2 linked regions of the Saccharomyces cerevisiae S288C genome follow. The protein of the gene in region 1 interacts with the protein of each later gene in a pairwise test. Each region holds a gene or a part of one and is shown in the gene's direction. Other genes may lie near its edges.

What was found. Proteins that work in one complex are often made in the same cells at the same time.
Region 2: the proteins of ATX1 (region 1) and PXA2 interact in a protein complementation assay, tested with the Saccharomyces cerevisiae proteins (one large-scale study listed by BioGRID).

The regions. Positions count from the first base shown.
Region 1 is NC_001146.8:152,084-159,447, reverse strand, and holds ATX1 (copper metallochaperone ATX1), read left to right. Parts: upstream 1-1,582; coding exon 1,583-1,804; downstream 1,805-7,364. Other genes in the region: DSL1 (Dsl1p), read left to right, coding at 1-1,339; ribosome biosynthesis protein LTO1, read left to right, coding at 2,101-2,589; ORC5 (origin recognition complex subunit 5), read right to left, coding at 2,909-4,348; POL2 (DNA polymerase epsilon catalytic subunit), read right to left, coding at 4,568-7,364. UniProt on the Saccharomyces cerevisiae protein: Copper homeostasis factor that specifically transports copper to the secretory pathway for incorporation into copper enzymes destined for the cell surface or extracellular milieu.
Region 2 is NC_001143.9:84,307-93,902, reverse strand, and holds PXA2 (ATP-binding cassette long-chain fatty acid transporter PXA2), read left to right. Parts: upstream 1-5,116; coding exon 5,117-7,678; downstream 7,679-9,596. Other genes in the region: MTR2 (Mtr2p), read left to right, coding at 605-1,159; FAT3 (Fat3p), read left to right, coding at 2,367-4,619; HYM1 (Hym1p), read right to left, coding at 8,000-9,199.

The DNA.
Region 1 (7,364 bases):
CATAAATAACAAACTAACTAGACTAGTTGCCAAATCAGAAGTTACCAATTGGACACATTCCGGTAAAGAGATTCAGGATTTGTTAATGAACAAACAATTATACTACAATTTATTACTAGATAAAGTTCTTGAATCGCATATTAGTGAGATAAGAAGTATATTTGAAGATCCAAAAAAGAGCTGGCAAAATTTGGAAGTAGTTGAGCTCACTACTAGCAATACTAATACGATGAGCGAAAAAATTGGAAAAAATGATTCAGATGTACAGAACGAAAAAGAACTCCATAATGCCGTATCCAAAGATGATGATTGGAATTGGGAAGTAGAGGATGATGATGCCGATGCATGGGGTGATGAAATTGATGTAAATATTGACGACGAGGAAGAAAAAACAAATCAAGAGAAGGAAAAAGAACCAGAAGAAGAAGAAAATGCCTGGGATGAAGCCTGGGCAATTGACGAAAATATAGATGATGCTTCCCTAGAAAATGGAAAGGAACATTTAAAAGCTCATGATGTAGGATCACTTGATAAAGACCACATTGAAGTTACACAGTTACCAAAATTGTTCTTGGCAATTTCACAGAATTTCAAGAGTAGCTTTGCAGATAGCCATGTTGATGAGCAATACTTTGCGTACAAATACAACCTTTTGCAGACATCGTATATGGCCATGTGCACAGCTAATTTTTCTCACAATTGGTGCCAATTATATGTGGATATGAGATATCTAATAGAACGAGATGAAAAGCTGTATAGAATAAAAGAATTAACAAGGAACCTGCTGGAAACTAAACTGAACATGAAATATCGTATTGTCTGTCAACTAATCAGGCATCAATTGACCGAATTTCGTGAGAACGAGAGAAATCCATCGTGGGACGCCACCATTGAGAAACTGCTACCTTATATCTTGAAGGAAATTGTTCGTCCACTGCAGAAAATAAGAGGTGAAGAAGGTTCCCGTTACTTGTTGTCTTTCTTAAACTTTTTATATAACGATTGCGTGACAAAGGAAATATTAAAATGGCAGATTATCTCTGAGGTCAATTCCGAAAATTTGGGTGAGCTCGTATCTTTATTAGTGAACAACACCGATATACAATTATTAGCGAAGGAACCAAGTTACAAAAAGATGAGAGAAAAATTCGCCACTATGGGCAAGTTTCTACCATTACATTTAAAGGAGATTATGGAGATGTTTTACAATGGGGATTTTTATCTTTTTGCGACAGACGAACTAATCCAATGGATAGAGTTATTGTTTGCCGACACTCCCCTGCGAAGGAATGCCATTGATGATATTTACGAAATTAGAGGCACTGCTCTAGATGATTAAAAAATAATTAATCGTAGGATAGGTTACATGATCATTGCAATAGATGTACATCTTGTATTACGTATGCGTAAGTTGTCTTTTTTTCAGTTTTCTAATAAATTTCACGTGATGCGGTAGTTTTTTTTGGGGGTGCAAAGTTGGCACATCTTGTAGTGCATTTTTGAGCTTCTTAAATGACTTGAATCATCTTAAAACATTGCAGGATGAGATTTCCAACGACACAAGAGAGAACTAGCGCAAAAGATGGCAGAGATAAAACATTATCAATTCAATGTCGTCATGACCTGCTCGGGATGTTCTGGTGCAGTCAATAAAGTTTTGACGAAATTAGAACCAGACGTTTCCAAAATAGATATATCCCTTGAAAAGCAATTAGTAGATGTATATACTACACTTCCTTACGATTTTATTTTAGAAAAGATTAAGAAAACCGGAAAGGAAGTTAGATCTGGCAAACAATTGTGAATGAAAGTGAAGAGAAATAGTTTTTTACTCTATTTTGTATTGTAGCTACTTAAGTAAATGATTAATATTCTCAATAGGATGCTTACGAAGAAAAAAGTCTTTTTTTATTGTTTTATTGTTTTATTCTTTGTTGGCTATGTAGCCATTTGCCTTTTCAGTATAATCTTACTAATATAAAAATCTCAATCATGGTGAGAAATCGTTTTATAAGAAAAATGAAAAAAAACTTGTTTAAATCAAATCACTTATCATATTTGAAGAGTAAATGGAAAGTAAAGATCACTGGACAAATAAAAATGGATTTTGATAATTTACTAAACCTAGAAGAACAGTATTACCAAGAAGGTTTTCTGGAGGGCCAGAATGAGAATATAAAGCAGAGCTTTCTAGAAGGTAAACAGTATGGTTTACAAGTGGGATTCCAAAGATTTACGCTCCTGGGACAAATGGAAGGTTTGTGTGATGTTATAGAATCGTATGGATTGCATAGTCCAACACTAGAAAAGAATATACATACCATTCGTACTTTAATGAAAGGTTTGAAAATGAATAACGATGATGAAAGTGTGATGGAATTTGAGAGGGTGTTAATAAAATTGAAAAATAAGTTTAGAACCATTCTAATAACTCTTCATCGATTAGTTAAAGATAAAAGAACCCCCACCGTGACATTTGAAGTCTTTGAAGACGTTTCAAGGGCCATTGCCGGAGAAATTAGAGGTTTTGTAGAAAATGAAGACATCGCAAAGAATAAGACAAAACAAAATCAGGCTCAATCCTGGTAAGAATACCAAGTGAAGAACATTATCGCCGGCCGCCAAAAAGAGCAACTAAACTAACAATTTTGCGCCGTTCAGTCTCCTCATTCATTGTTTTTCCATACAGTAGGGCGCTTTTAATAGTTTCTAGTGGACTGAATTAATAACGGTTATACGTATTAATCTTTGATTACCATATCCAAGAAACAGAGCGTAGAGCGTGGGAACAAAAAATACAAGGTTTACTTGATAATTGTTCATTCTATCCCACTATGTATAAATATTTATATAACGTAGTTGTTGTTTCGAACGTATCCTGCCCTCTGGATACCTTCCAGGGAGATAATCATTCGTGAATATCGCTGAAGTAATCGCTGATATTGAAATGAACAGATTCTGATATTTCTTTAATAATTTCCCAGGGAACGTTTACTTTCCACCTGACTTTAGGACTCAAATAGTCGATATTCTTGTTCATGGTTGTAGCTATTAATTTCAATGTATGCAATTCGGATAAATTTTGAAAAACCTCGATATTCGCTTTCATTAAGGATTCCTCACGAAGTGCAGATAGGGAACCACTCTCCGCCTTACCTTGAATAGGGAATATAGCTTGGAAAATAGCCAAAAGTCTTTCAATAGCAAATAAAGAAGGCTGTAAATATCTAGGGTTAACTTCTTTCTTCTTTCTTCGTCCATAAGCAGCTCTACCTTGTATGATACGTGTTTTCCTAGAGAAAATACTCGCATCGTATCTAGGTTCCAGATATGAACAAATATATGAGGCTATGAGCAGATACTTCGAAATTATTGATAAGTCGTAAGTTTGACTGTTCTCAAGGTCATCACGATTTGTGGTTATCGCGCTTTCACCTTGTCCATTTTCACTTAAATTATCATCTGTGCTTAAAAATAGTTTGATGGCACTTTTGTAAAGAGCCAGTGGTTCAAATATGTTTTCCTTAGTAATGCGAGATACATACTTGGGCCATTTGAAGTCTATCAAGTCATTCAATGCGAATATGTCGTTTCCAGTATAAGAATGAAAAGCCTGCACAATTAAGTGAATGAAGTTCGCAGCTACATTTTGAAATTGATCGTCTGTACAGTCCGTTATCTGCTCTTCAATGATACGCTTACGTAGACAAGAATCTTCCATGAGTTCGCCACATCTAGACATCACTAATATAGTAGAAACTTCGTCCACATTATACCTCGGAAACATAACAGTTGGAATGCAATGTGTAGAATATCTTTGCAAAAATGATGTCTCTAACATCGTGTAAATGAATTTTATATTAATTTTAGAATCTTTTGGAAGTAATTCATTTAGTTTGATATATTTGTTAAACAGTGCGGCGTCTAAATCTTGTAAACTATCGAAACCATCCAATATCAAGAACAAGCAAGTCTTTTCTTGCAAAGATTCATATTGGACAAAAATATTGTGCAACGTCTTTACCAAAAGAAATGGCTCTTCAACCTGTAAAGGATCGTAATCTGTGGTGGGAATGTTTGGATATAGGGTTTTCAATTTATATTGTACAGTACGTGCTATCGCCTGCAGTAAGGGCTTCCAAGAAACCAACTCAACAGGTTCCAGCCATACTGCATGCAAATTTGGATTCGCATTAAAATACTTCTTCAAAGTGTAGGTTTTTCCTGTTCCACTATAACCTTGCAAGATTAAATTTGAAGGAGTTATGTCTGGATCAGCAGAAATATACGATGCGAGACAGTTGGTTTGATATTCCCTAAAAGCAACTTCCGGAGTGGTCACATTCATTTTATTTCCAAAAGTATTAAGAAGAAAATAAAAGAAAAGTACTTGTGATTTAAATATCAAAGAAGAGTGTTAATTATGTTCAAGGGCTAATTTTTCGGTTATTTATATTTATATGTTCAGAAACGAATTGAAAATACTCTTTTTCCTTACCTTTTTTTTTTTTTTTTTTTTTTTTTCATGGTAAAGAGGCCATTGAACCTCGCGTTATATACTGCTTACTCATATGGTCAAATCAGCAATACAACTCAATAATATATCAAAACCGTAATACTTGGCTACTTGCTTAAACACATTTAACTTTTGAACAATGCTTTCTCTGGGGAGAGTTCCTTCCCACGCGCCGGCACATGGACAGTGGGCACTCATATAGTCACGTTTCACTTTATGACATCTGGAGCATCTCAAATCTTGAATTAAATAGGATTCGATATCAGAACGTAGTTTTTGAATCAGGTGTTCTTGCAACAATACTTGATTAAAGGCTTTGTGACATCTGACGCATGAAAAAATAGATTCAGGAGCTGCCTTACAAAAGTCAATATCAGAAATGAAAAAACAGTATTCACATAAAAAATCCGGCACCACGAGACTCAAACTTGGATCTTTGAATTCCGCTACTTTAGCAAACTCACGCAATTCAAATATCTTCAGCAGTTCTTTTCTCAGGGTCCTGATTTCTAAAATTGTACTCTTTGAAAGTAACATGACATGGCAGAGTGATTTGACAAGTTCTAGAAGGGGATTTTTCACATTCAGATGGGAACCAGGAAGAACAGGAATAACATAGTCTGCCTCATACTGAGGATCTAAAATGAACTCTTGCTGGTTTTTAAAAAGCTTTTTGACTCTTTTCATTAGTGGTTTGGAAAAAAGGTGAGAAAATCCGTTCAACGAGTTTTCAACACTATCTTCCTTATCTTGTTTTTTTACATTAACTATTTGGGTAGGTCTTTGCGTCCCTGAATTCAATTTTAGATAGCTCTGCTTTGTCTTTAGCATACTATCCAATATGATCATCATCCAATCCTCAAATTCGGGCTGATATATTGGTGACAGAAACTTCTTTAGTTGCCATTGCGAAACAGCGGTATAATCCTGATTTTCCTTTTCCTCTATTTCAATACATGCTAATCCACTAAAATTAAACTTATCCATCCATATTAGCAGATCCCAATAACGTTTGATATTTAAGTCCAGATAACTAAACATTGGATTTGTTCTAACTGCCTTCATCATATATTGGCTGTAGGCGTAACAGTTTTCAGGTGAGTACTTGTTTGTCTTTATTAGAATTTGATTCCTGTCTGCATATACAATAGTTGAGCCAAGTGCACTAAATTCATTTACTAATTGAAGTAAGGCTTTTTTTGTTAAGTTATGAACGTGATATCTTAGTAATCCGTCGAATAGTTTCGCATTCGGGTTTTGAACCCAACTTGCCAGGGAATTTACCAACAAATCTGCGGTTGAATTTTCTTTTAGGGCCTCATCCCACCACTCCTTTAACATACCTCTTAAAACATTCAAAGCGTCATTAGAAAAGGCGTCGTGCACGAATTCAGATGGCGAGTTAATAACGGCATCTTTGTCATCTATACCCATATTATTGTTAACTAGATCACTGCCTTCAGCATCATTGATTAATGCTGATGTCAAAATTGTGTTCACTGTTAAATTATCAACACCAACATCGAGAACTACATTGTCATACACACCTGAGTTATTAATTTTGGGAAATTCTGAATCATTCATTATCCATGATGTATTTAAATCAAAATCATTTTGAATGCCTCCATGATCTGGAAGTGGAGCTTTCTCATTCCACCAAAGCACGATGTTCTCTTTTTTTAGTTTTCTTGCATAAAGAACATCAATAATATAATCCATACTATCCAGCCTCAAATTACAGATTGGAATGTTACTATACTGGGATAACTTGATCAAGTGAGAAATCCACGAACCACTGGATAAAACGTGGTTAACAAGTTTCTTCAATAATGTCGGTTGCCAGTTCAATTGGGGTAGAAGAACTTCATTCAAGGAAAGCTTAACAATGGGCATCTGGTTTAGAAGCCGGATTGTGCCTAAGAGCTTAGTGATAAACGGAGATTGTAACAAGAGTAAAAACTGCAGACCTCTTTCTTCTTTTAATTTAGTAGTTTCCTGTGATAGTCTTCTGTACAATTTTGAGATATCTGTAAAATATACAAACTCAAAATTGATATCTTCTTTAATATCAACCAAGTAAGAATATGTTTCTATTTTACCTTTCTTTTTTTCAAACATTTGTTTGTATATTTGTCCTAATGATGAGGCATTTATTTCCTGAGCCTGGTTGGATGGTTTCAAAACTAATATAGTAATAGTATCTCCCCATGACTTGAATAATGAAAAAAATTCATACCCAATTGATGTTGGGAAATGTAGTAAATAGCCAATGTCCATTGAAAATCCACTCAGATACCTTTCATTTTCCGCCATTGAAAGATCCTTCATTTCAAAACCCTGCTGTATTCCCTTGCCTAACGCACCCATTGCTTTTGAGCGGAACGTTACCGAAGCTCCCAAATCCATGATCGCTCTTTGATGAGGAGTGATAGTGCCCTCAAATACACCAAGTACATTTTCATCGTTGAAGATACTAGTGCAGTTTTCCTTTTCTTCCAGAAAGACAGATTCCGGTAGAGTAATTTTGAATAGCTGACCGCCTGCTGGATTAGACGTTTTGGGATTATTTGGTAACGATGCAGAAGATTTTTCAATAAGGCAATTCTTAATCTTTTGTAGCGGCATTGTTTGAGATTTGAATTTCATATAAATAGTTTTTGGTATATGGAAGGTGATGTTCTGGACTTTGCCATTAATTGTTACAAATACTTCCAAAACCCCTGGCTCACCGGAATCCTTGTATTGTAAGACCTCCCAAGTGGAGTTCGCATATGATTCAGCTTGCTTCCTAATCATACTTCCTAGTGCACTTCTTTCACGGGAGCTGTTTGTATTACCAAATAATTGG
Region 2 (9,596 bases), on another chromosome or scaffold:
TGTGTCTTTTTTAGGTAAAAAAAGGCAACCAACTTTTTGCTGGCTAGCGATGCGACAATAAACGCGCGCAGCGAATAAAAATAAGATGGCGGAGGAGCAGAGACTTCTTTTCTTAGAAGAGGTTTTGTTACCGTATGGGGGTATGATGGTTAGATGGCTGAATAAAAACGTTAATTAAAGGAATACAGAAGAGGAAGCGCCCCGATTTCTTTTCTGTTCCACATGAAAGCAGCCGGTTGGGTGGTAGATCTCTAATGACATCCAAACTACAAAACCGAGATTGGACATATAGCACACTCTGCATTTCTACTTTCCTTTCTCCCTACAGTTTGCTCGATCTGAACCGATGCTTCTTTGATTGGACAAGATGATAGACCATGACTCCCTGTATGTATTGCAGAGATTGCCACTACTAACCAAGAAAAGTTGAACGTGTCGTACGTATAAAACGATTTATGCTTAGGCTTTACTGAAAAAAAAAAAGTAAAAAGAGGATGCGCAAACGCATAGAGCAAGTAACTAACCTGTTTTTATAGTATATACTTGGCCCCACCAGGCTGATCGTCAGGCAAAACGCCAAACTAATAACAGTAATAACAGAAATATGAACACCAATAGTAATACTATGGTAATGAATGACGCAAATCAAGCACAAATAACGGCCACATTTACGAAGAAGATATTAGCGCATTTGGATGATCCGGACTCCAACAAATTGGCCCAATTCGTACAGCTTTTTAATCCAAACAACTGCAGAATAATATTTAATGCTACCCCCTTCGCGCAAGCAACAGTTTTTCTGCAAATGTGGCAAAACCAGGTCGTACAAACACAACATGCCCTAACAGGAGTAGACTATCACGCTATTCCGGGATCCGGCACGTTGATATGCAACGTCAATTGCAAAGTCAGATTCGACGAAAGCGGCAGAGACAAGATGGGGCAAGACGCGACTGTTCCCATTCAACCAAATAACACTGGGAACAGAAATCGACCCAACGATATGAACAAGCCAAGACCTCTATGGGGTCCATATTTTGGCATTTCCCTGCAGCTGATCATCGACGACCGCATATTTAGAAATGATTTTAATGGTGTAATATCGGGGTTTAACTATAACATGGTTTACAAACCCGAGGATTCTCTGCTAAAAATTTAGTGGGAAGATTCCGCTCTACCAGGGAAAAACAAAATTATATAGAAAAGAAGGTAAGTAATAAGTAATACGAAAAAACCCAAAAAAAAAATTCAAATACCCCAACCCTGTGCCCTTTCTATTTTTATGGTTGAAAAGGTTACAGAGGATCCTCTGGAGCGGTGACAACAGTTGACGCAATCATGGTCCCTGGCGGTCCCTAAGGATATCTCGGAGGAACCGAGGCACGGAAACGGCTGCACGGGTACGCCAGATAAGGATAATTCAGCCGTCACGCATGAACAGAAGGATGAGCATTTGCTCACCTTCCTGGACTTAACTTGCGTGAATGAAAAGAAGAACACCAATGTTAGAGTAGGGCTTCGCACCAAACTTTAATCAAGAAATCTGAGGAGAAATGATTCTAAGTCTAGCCACGAAAACTGCAAAGCGCACCAAAAGTAAGAAACGACAAAGTTTTTCTAGCATTTTTTTGTTTCATCAAGAGAAGAAACACGATTTATATAACTGTTACCGCTAAAACCTACATCTAAACTTTTTAATATCTGAAAGCGCTAGTCGTGTGTACCCCCCTCAACTGATCAACTGGTCAACGAGCTTTACTTGTGGAAGTTCATGGCAAACGCTCCTTGGCTTTTGCCTAGTCTTGTTCTATGGCACATTTTTCTGTTGAGTTACACCCCGCGTGCTAAAAAAGGGGTGAACCATCAGAAAGCTTATTACTGAGTTTTGCGGAGCATCGCTCGGAGCGGCGGAATTGAATCGAACCGCCGTGCTATTACCGAACAAAAAAATTCGAAAGCATAAACTCAGTAGTGAAAAACTTGAGAATTTTCAGATGAGTGGCGACTTTCCAGTCCTTGCGGTTTTGTCACCTTAGTCAGCTAGTAAGGAGGCCGTGTGGGTTAGAGTGGCTACAATCCTCAAAGGGCACTTCTAGAACCCACGGTGAATTTTTTTTGGCATGATAAATCGGTAGAATCGGTGAAGTAATTACCCAAAAAAGGATCGGGATTGTGTTTCTCGTAATTCCGTATTATTGCCGATGGCATCGACTACTTCTTTTTTCAGAAACCCCAACAAGGGTCTATTGTAATTGTATATAAACCTTTTTGTAATGGATATATACATGTGGTACTATTTCTCCTCATCCTGCTCCATCGAAAATCCTCATACGAAGAGTTAGGAAAGCAAAGAAAACAACAAAAACATGAGGATCGAAAAGCACCGTACCCCCCTGTCGAAGGGAATTATTTGGACGATATTGTCTGTGTGCCTTTTATTCATGTTCACCACACTGATATTGGTTATTGTAGCCACTGCTGGCTCCACCGCCAACTACAAACCCTTAACGAATATATACATCGGTGAAGCCGATATCAAACACATCAATGTAAGCAAGGTGATCCCGCAGATAGGCCCTATTTTGACAATATTAGGGTCCGCTTTGACGGCTCCGAACAGCTCCTTGGATGATATTTTTGGCGCCATGAAAAATATTGCTGATACTCCCGCGCTGACGCCGCTATTGACGCTTTTGTCTAATGCTGACAACACCACAGTAACCATCGAATCATTGACCGAATTGGCTCCCTTAGCGATCAGCGGCAATCCTGCTTCTAGCACGAGGCAGTTGACAGAGATTAATGGGCTGCTGAAGTATTCAGACAACGCAACTGAAACACTAGATGGCCTCTCAAGGTTAGTTTCTGCTTCGCTGTCTTCCGCAAGCTCTAACTCTTCCAGTGACTCAACTACTTTGGTTCTGGACTTATTAAAAGACTCCGATAACCCACAGAATTCCACAGATGCATTGCTAACTCTGAATAATCTGACAATGTCAGAAAAGGCGCAATTGTTACCGGTATTCAGGCTATTCGCTTTCTCCACGAACCAAACAGCTACAATGACGGCTCTGGCGACCTTGATGAACACTACTATTTCATCTTCTTTAGCCCAAACACTATTAACTCAGTTACAAAACACAATTTCAAACGGAGGTTCCCTAAATAACACGTTTAGTACTTTGCAACCACTAGTGCCGCAGGCAAGCGCCCCCGCATTTGATGCAGTGGAATTGCTGCTAAACCAGACCACCTCTACAAATCAGACATTGAGCACTCTATCTGATTTGCTGGAACAAAACCTCACTCAGTCATCATCTGCAAAAAAGGCGTTTGCTGCCTTAACCCAATTGATGGAAAATTCGGACAACTCGACAATGGTTGTCACTTCGGTCCAATCTCTAGCTGCGGTGACAAATACAACTCAATCTACTCAACAGCTAATTGGATTAGATGATGTGATAAGCTCCTCGAGTAACACCAACGAAACTTTGTCCATCTTGTCCGAATTACAATCGGGCCTATCCGGTAATTCAAGCTCCGTACAGTACATTCCATATCTCTTCAGTCTTTTAGGGGCATCCACTGATCCTAAAACAACATTTTCATCTTTAGTGACGCTGACTTCCTGGGCTCAAGAAAACCCTCAGACCTTCTTGCCCATTTTAGATATATTAGCGGATGCCAAATCCGTCCAACCGATTTCCGCAGAAGAATTGAACGCCATGACGCCGAATATACTAGAGTATCTGAAAATTCCGATTTACTATCGCTTATCCATTTTCACGCTATGCCATGCTAACCTGGAAAACAAGATCCTAGATTGTAACTCCCCACATGCTGTACAAAACTTGGATTTTAGATCGATTATTTATGACGCATTAGTCACATCAGACTTCCAACCATATCTGAACGCCCTGAATATTAGCGCCAACGATCTTTACCTAGAAGGGAAACTTTTACACAGAGAGCACCAATATGTGCCAGCAGTGAGGTCTGTTTTGGCTTTGAACCTCTTAGCGATCATCTTTTCCTTCTTTACCATGATTTTTATTATATTACTGTACTTTAACAGATATATGTTCAAACAACCATTATGGCTCATTGCCCTAGCTCTACACGTTTGCGTTGGTGTAGCCACTGTATTGGCAGCCATTATCATATCCGTTATGATTGCCATTATAAAGAGCGGTACGGCAGATGATAAATATGGTGTTGTGTTTAAAGCCGGTCCCGCCTATACAGGGCTGATATGGACAGCATTTGCGTTGTCTTTTATCGCCACAGGATTGATAATTTATACGTGGTGGAGGAACAGACGGAGTGGTCGTTACATGTCCGGATCTGTGACGAATAGGAAAGGCGAAATTTACACGTATGGGGATGGTTCTGCCATTTCTGCAGACCGTTTCGGCGACCATAACTTGGGTGATGATGATGATGCTGATTTCGAAAAACAGGTGAATCGTAATGAAATAACCGCTATCGACAACAGTAGTTCTGCCAATAATACAGATGTCACAGGTAGTACGAGTAATAGAACAGAGCTAAGTCACCCCGACGTGACACCAAAAGATTCAAATGGACCTGTTAACAATAATGCACATTTGGTAGCATAATTTTTTTCTTTTTCGTAAATGCTCTATCACTTTTTTTCAATTGTACCAAACCATTTACAGCGTTATCTTAATCTCTTATATTGAATTATAGTACATACCACACCATCATCCTTATTTAATAGCTTTATTTAAATTTCAAAACAAAAATTAATAATAATTTGGTAATTATTCATATTTTTGGAATATATGCAATTAATGTTCTTTCGTCTTTGATGTATATTCCTTCGGCGTTAATTACAACTATCACCGTAAAGTTTTTACCACCCTCCGAAAGATTAAGGGCGGCAATGAAATGTGGAGTAAAGTGAATGTTAGATGATGATATTGATGGCTTTGCTCGATCAAAGATAATATTATATTTAAGTATCATCTTGTCCTCAATCCGGTACAAAACAAACGTCTTCAACATTGTTATCTGTATTTTGTTCGTCTTGAATATGGAAAAGACTCAAAAGGGATAATAATACAATTAAAAGTTACCGAAGAAAGATTTTATAATGATCTCAACAGCTTCTGCATTTTATCAGAAGCATAGAGTAAATTTACTGCGTTCTTCATACATAATATTGTTGCTAGCCACGCTTTACAATTCAAATTCCAGTTCTAGTAACAACAAAACTGATAAGAAGGATTCTGAGTCAACGGTTTTAGAAAATAAGAAAATTGAAGAGGGAAAAGAAACCGCAGTAGATAGAGAGGAAGATGAAAGTAGCAAAGAAGAGTTAACGATAGTCTCCAAACATAGCACAGATTCAGAAGATGGTGCAATAATAATTGATAAAGAAAGCAAGACTAATCATAAGGGGGGAGAGCGAAAAGGAAAGGTAGATTTTTTGTTCAAACTTTTGCTTCATGATAAGAAGTGCCTCATTTTATTTATTACACAGGCTATTCTTCTGAACATCAGAACATTGCTGTCTCTTCGTGTGGCTACTTTAGATGGTCAATTAGTGTCCACACTAGTAAGAGCTCAATACGCAAACTTCACAAAGATATTGTTGGGGAAATGGATGATCCTTGGAATTCCCGCCAGTTTTATTAATTCACTGATCAGTTACACGACAAAACTTTGTGCTGTCACTATTAATAGGAAAGTTTCAGACTTTCTACTCTCAAAGTATCTATCTAATCACCATACTTTCTATTCCGTAGCTTCTGCTGAATCTGTTTCAGAAATTCAGGATAATTTGACAAAAGATATTTACACATTTTCAATGAACTCGTCATTATTACTGAATCAGCTATTAAAGCCAATGCTGGATTTGATCCTCTGTTCATTCAAATTATTAACCTCAAACACTAGTGTTATGGGTGAAGGAACTTTGGCACTGGGCTTAATTGTCTACGCCTCCAATTCATTACTAAAATTGATTCAACCGAATTTCACTAGGTTAACTATGGCAAGCGCATCTTTGGAAAGTTGGTTCAGATCTTTACACTCGAATCTACATTCAAGCAATGAAGAAATTGCACTGCTAAGAGGGCAAAAGAGGGAACTAGAAAACGTTGATTATTCATTTTACCGTTTGGTGCTATTTTTAAACAGAGAAATAAAGGCAAGAGCTATTTATGATGTTGCTACTGCATTTGTCATTAAATATACTTGGGGCGCAGCTGGCTTGGTACTATGCTCGATTCCAATATTTTTCAAAAACAAACCTAGTGAAGACACCTTACAGCTTAAGGAACCCGGGAATGATATGACGGCTGATTTCATCACAAATAGAAGATTATTAGTCACTGCATCTAGCTCTATCGGAAGATTTGTGGAACTGAAGAGAAATATACAACAATTACGCGGTATCAGATTGAGATTGAACAAGTTCAATGATTTGTTGGATGCTAATAAAGGTGATGACGAAAAAGAACCAAGAGATGAAAGGTGTATAGTGGAATATGATGATTCAAGGATAAAGTTTGAAAATATTCCTTTAATAACACCTGCCAATCAAGTTCTAGTACCGGAGCTAAGTTTTGATCTGAAGCATGGAAATCATCTACTAATTATTGGGCCCAACGGTTGCGGTAAATCTTCATTATTTCGTATTCTAGGCGGGCTTTGGCCGATAAGGGCGACTCCCAATAAAAATCATCAATCCAAGTTAATAATGCCGCGTAGAACTGTGGATAGAGATTGCGCAATATTTTATTTACCCCAAAGGCCGTATATGGGCAATAGGTCGACATTCAGGGAACAGATTATTTATCCAGACAGTATTGAACAATTCAAAGAAAGATATCACAATGATTATGATCTAGGCGATGCAGATTTAATAAAAATTCTGCAATTATTAGATTTGGAGGATTTAGTCACTGAAAATATGTCACTTCTGCTGGCGCAAAGGACTTCCAAAAATGATTCACAGCAGTTGTCGACGGAAGACAATCAGTCACCATGCGCCATTAAAGTTCGTGATGCATTCAGTATAGTAAGAAATTGGTCCGAAGAATTAACAATTGGTGTCCAACAAAGGTTAGCTATGGCAAGGATGTACTATCATAAACCCAAGTTTGCTGTGCTCGACGAATGTACATCTGCAGTAGCCCCAGAAATGGAACAAAGGATGTACGAAAATGCGCAAAATTTTGGTATCTCGTTAATATCAGTTTGCCACAGGACAAGTTTATGGCATTTTCATAACTATCTGTTAAAATTTGATGGTAAAGGCGGATACCAATTTGGACCGTTTAACCCGAAGGAAAGGTTATGTAATGAAGAAAAACTTCTTGAACTAAATGCCATCTTGGATCAACAGGTGCCACTTTGGGAGCGGAAGTTGAAAGATCTGACAATTGCTAAAGAATCCAACATCATTCGTAAATCAGAAACTAACCTGAATCTTTTTGAAAAGATCGAAGATCCAAAAACGTCCAAATCTAATGCATTGTTTAATGCAAATAAAGGGCAGCGAATCACATCACCTACAGGGCAGGAGACTAGTAAGAGATTACCACTATTTTCCCAACCATCTAGTTCAGCATCATCAAATTTACTAAGAAACAATAAAAGCTTGAACAAAAAAGTTAAAACAAAAAAGGAAGAAGGAAAGGAGAGGTAACATACATAGCCAAAGGAGGATCCAAATCATGTATAAATTGGATAAATAAATTGTTTTATAATAATTTAATATCTTGAGAAAGCGCTCATATTTACGGTTGATTGCTCAATTCCATGTACCGGATCCAACTGTACTGGCTTCCTCAGCCTCCGGTACCAACCTTTTTTTGTATAAATACGTAAAAATACAAAAGTCTGAACTATTTTTCCCTTTTTATGCAAATAAACACTTTCCTATATATAATTTTACTTTTGAATATTCATGTCACGACCCACTGCCTGAGAACTTTCCATTTTTTATAAAGTGAACCAAGTTTTATAGTTATCTTGAATCAGGTGAAGTTGAATGTGTTAAGATGGATGATTGATTGTTCATTACTGATGATGGAGAAGTTATACTGGCGACGTTACTTGAGGATGCATTATTATTAGAAACTTCTGTTGTGGACGAAATTATACGCGGCAAGGAATCAATTTCTTGAACGATGAATTCTCTTTCATCAAGAAAAGTAGAATCCTGAGAATCTAAACCGAAAGTTTTAAAATACGTCAATAGTTTATCTCTGTTTTTAACAAGAATGTCAAAAACAGGTTTTGACTTCCTTGGGTTTGCTACCATCACCTTGAATACGTTGAAAGCTTCAAGTTGTAAGTTTTTAGATTTGTCAGTCATTAAAGTCATTATGAGCTTTAAGTTTTCTGGGGAGTTGATATATATATTCATCAACGCGTTGTTAGATCTTATCACAATTAATGAGGCCAACAGTTTAGTGCTCTGCCTTTTCGTTACGTAGCTTCCATGAGCCATTAACTTGTTAATACATTTAATGAATCTTATGATATTAATCTCATTACTGAAGAATTCCTTAGACACTAATTTAGGATGTGCAGTAAATGCGGCACTTAATATTTGTAAAGATTCCGTACTGATTTCGAAATTACCCAGTTTCGCAAACTCAAAGAATTTCCATAGTTGAGGGTCCTTTAATATAATCCTACAAAGTTGTTCGTATTTGATACATTCAATAATCATATTCCCTACCGTTAAAAAGATATCTTGGCAACCCTTTTGTTGTAGAGCAACTTCCGCAGTCCTCAACATTAAAGATATGGTCTTTGGTTGCGAGACTAAATAATCTACTGTGACGAATTTATTATCCTTAGAGTATCCAAGGCATATAGAGAATATAAGCATGCATTCTCTCCTTGCTTCGAATTCCAAATCCACAAAATGAAGTAGCAGTTCATAGAACACGTCGGCACGATGCATGGCAGTATAAAGCTCGTCAATGGCTTCCGGAGTTGGGTGAGGATCCGTATCACCGACAATAAAATGTTTAGTGCCAATTAGATATTTTGTGCACTCTTCTTGTACCTTTCGTTTGTTATCCTGAGTCAGCGAGGGTGAGCTGAATTTATTTAGTTGTTCGATGATCAACCTGGCATAATCGGAAGGGGTCTTGGGGTTTTTCTTCCACCAAAATGCCATGTCCAAGTCTTGATTTTTGTATTTCTTAAACATTTGTCTTCGATTTGCGGATAATTTATACTGGGGATTACGTGCAATAAGCCTCTTACGGATAACACGTATTCTTTGGCTTAACTACTCCGAGATTAAATCGTATTGTTAAAACAAGAAGCTATCAACGCCTGTAAATATTGTGTCAGTGCCACTTTTGAAACAATTCTGAGACCACTTTTTATTTTTATTTTTCCAAGAGTGCAATCAGCGGGTTTCCTCCTTATTTGCGTTTGGAGCAATCTTCCCTTTTTCGAACACAAAATCCAAAATTTGGAGCAATTGGCTCTTCAAAATCAACGGTACATGCTCCTTATATTGGTAATAAATAATTCATATCCAGCCTCCTCTTATGGCTGCATAATGGAAAGGATCAACGCTTGCAACACAAAAATAAATT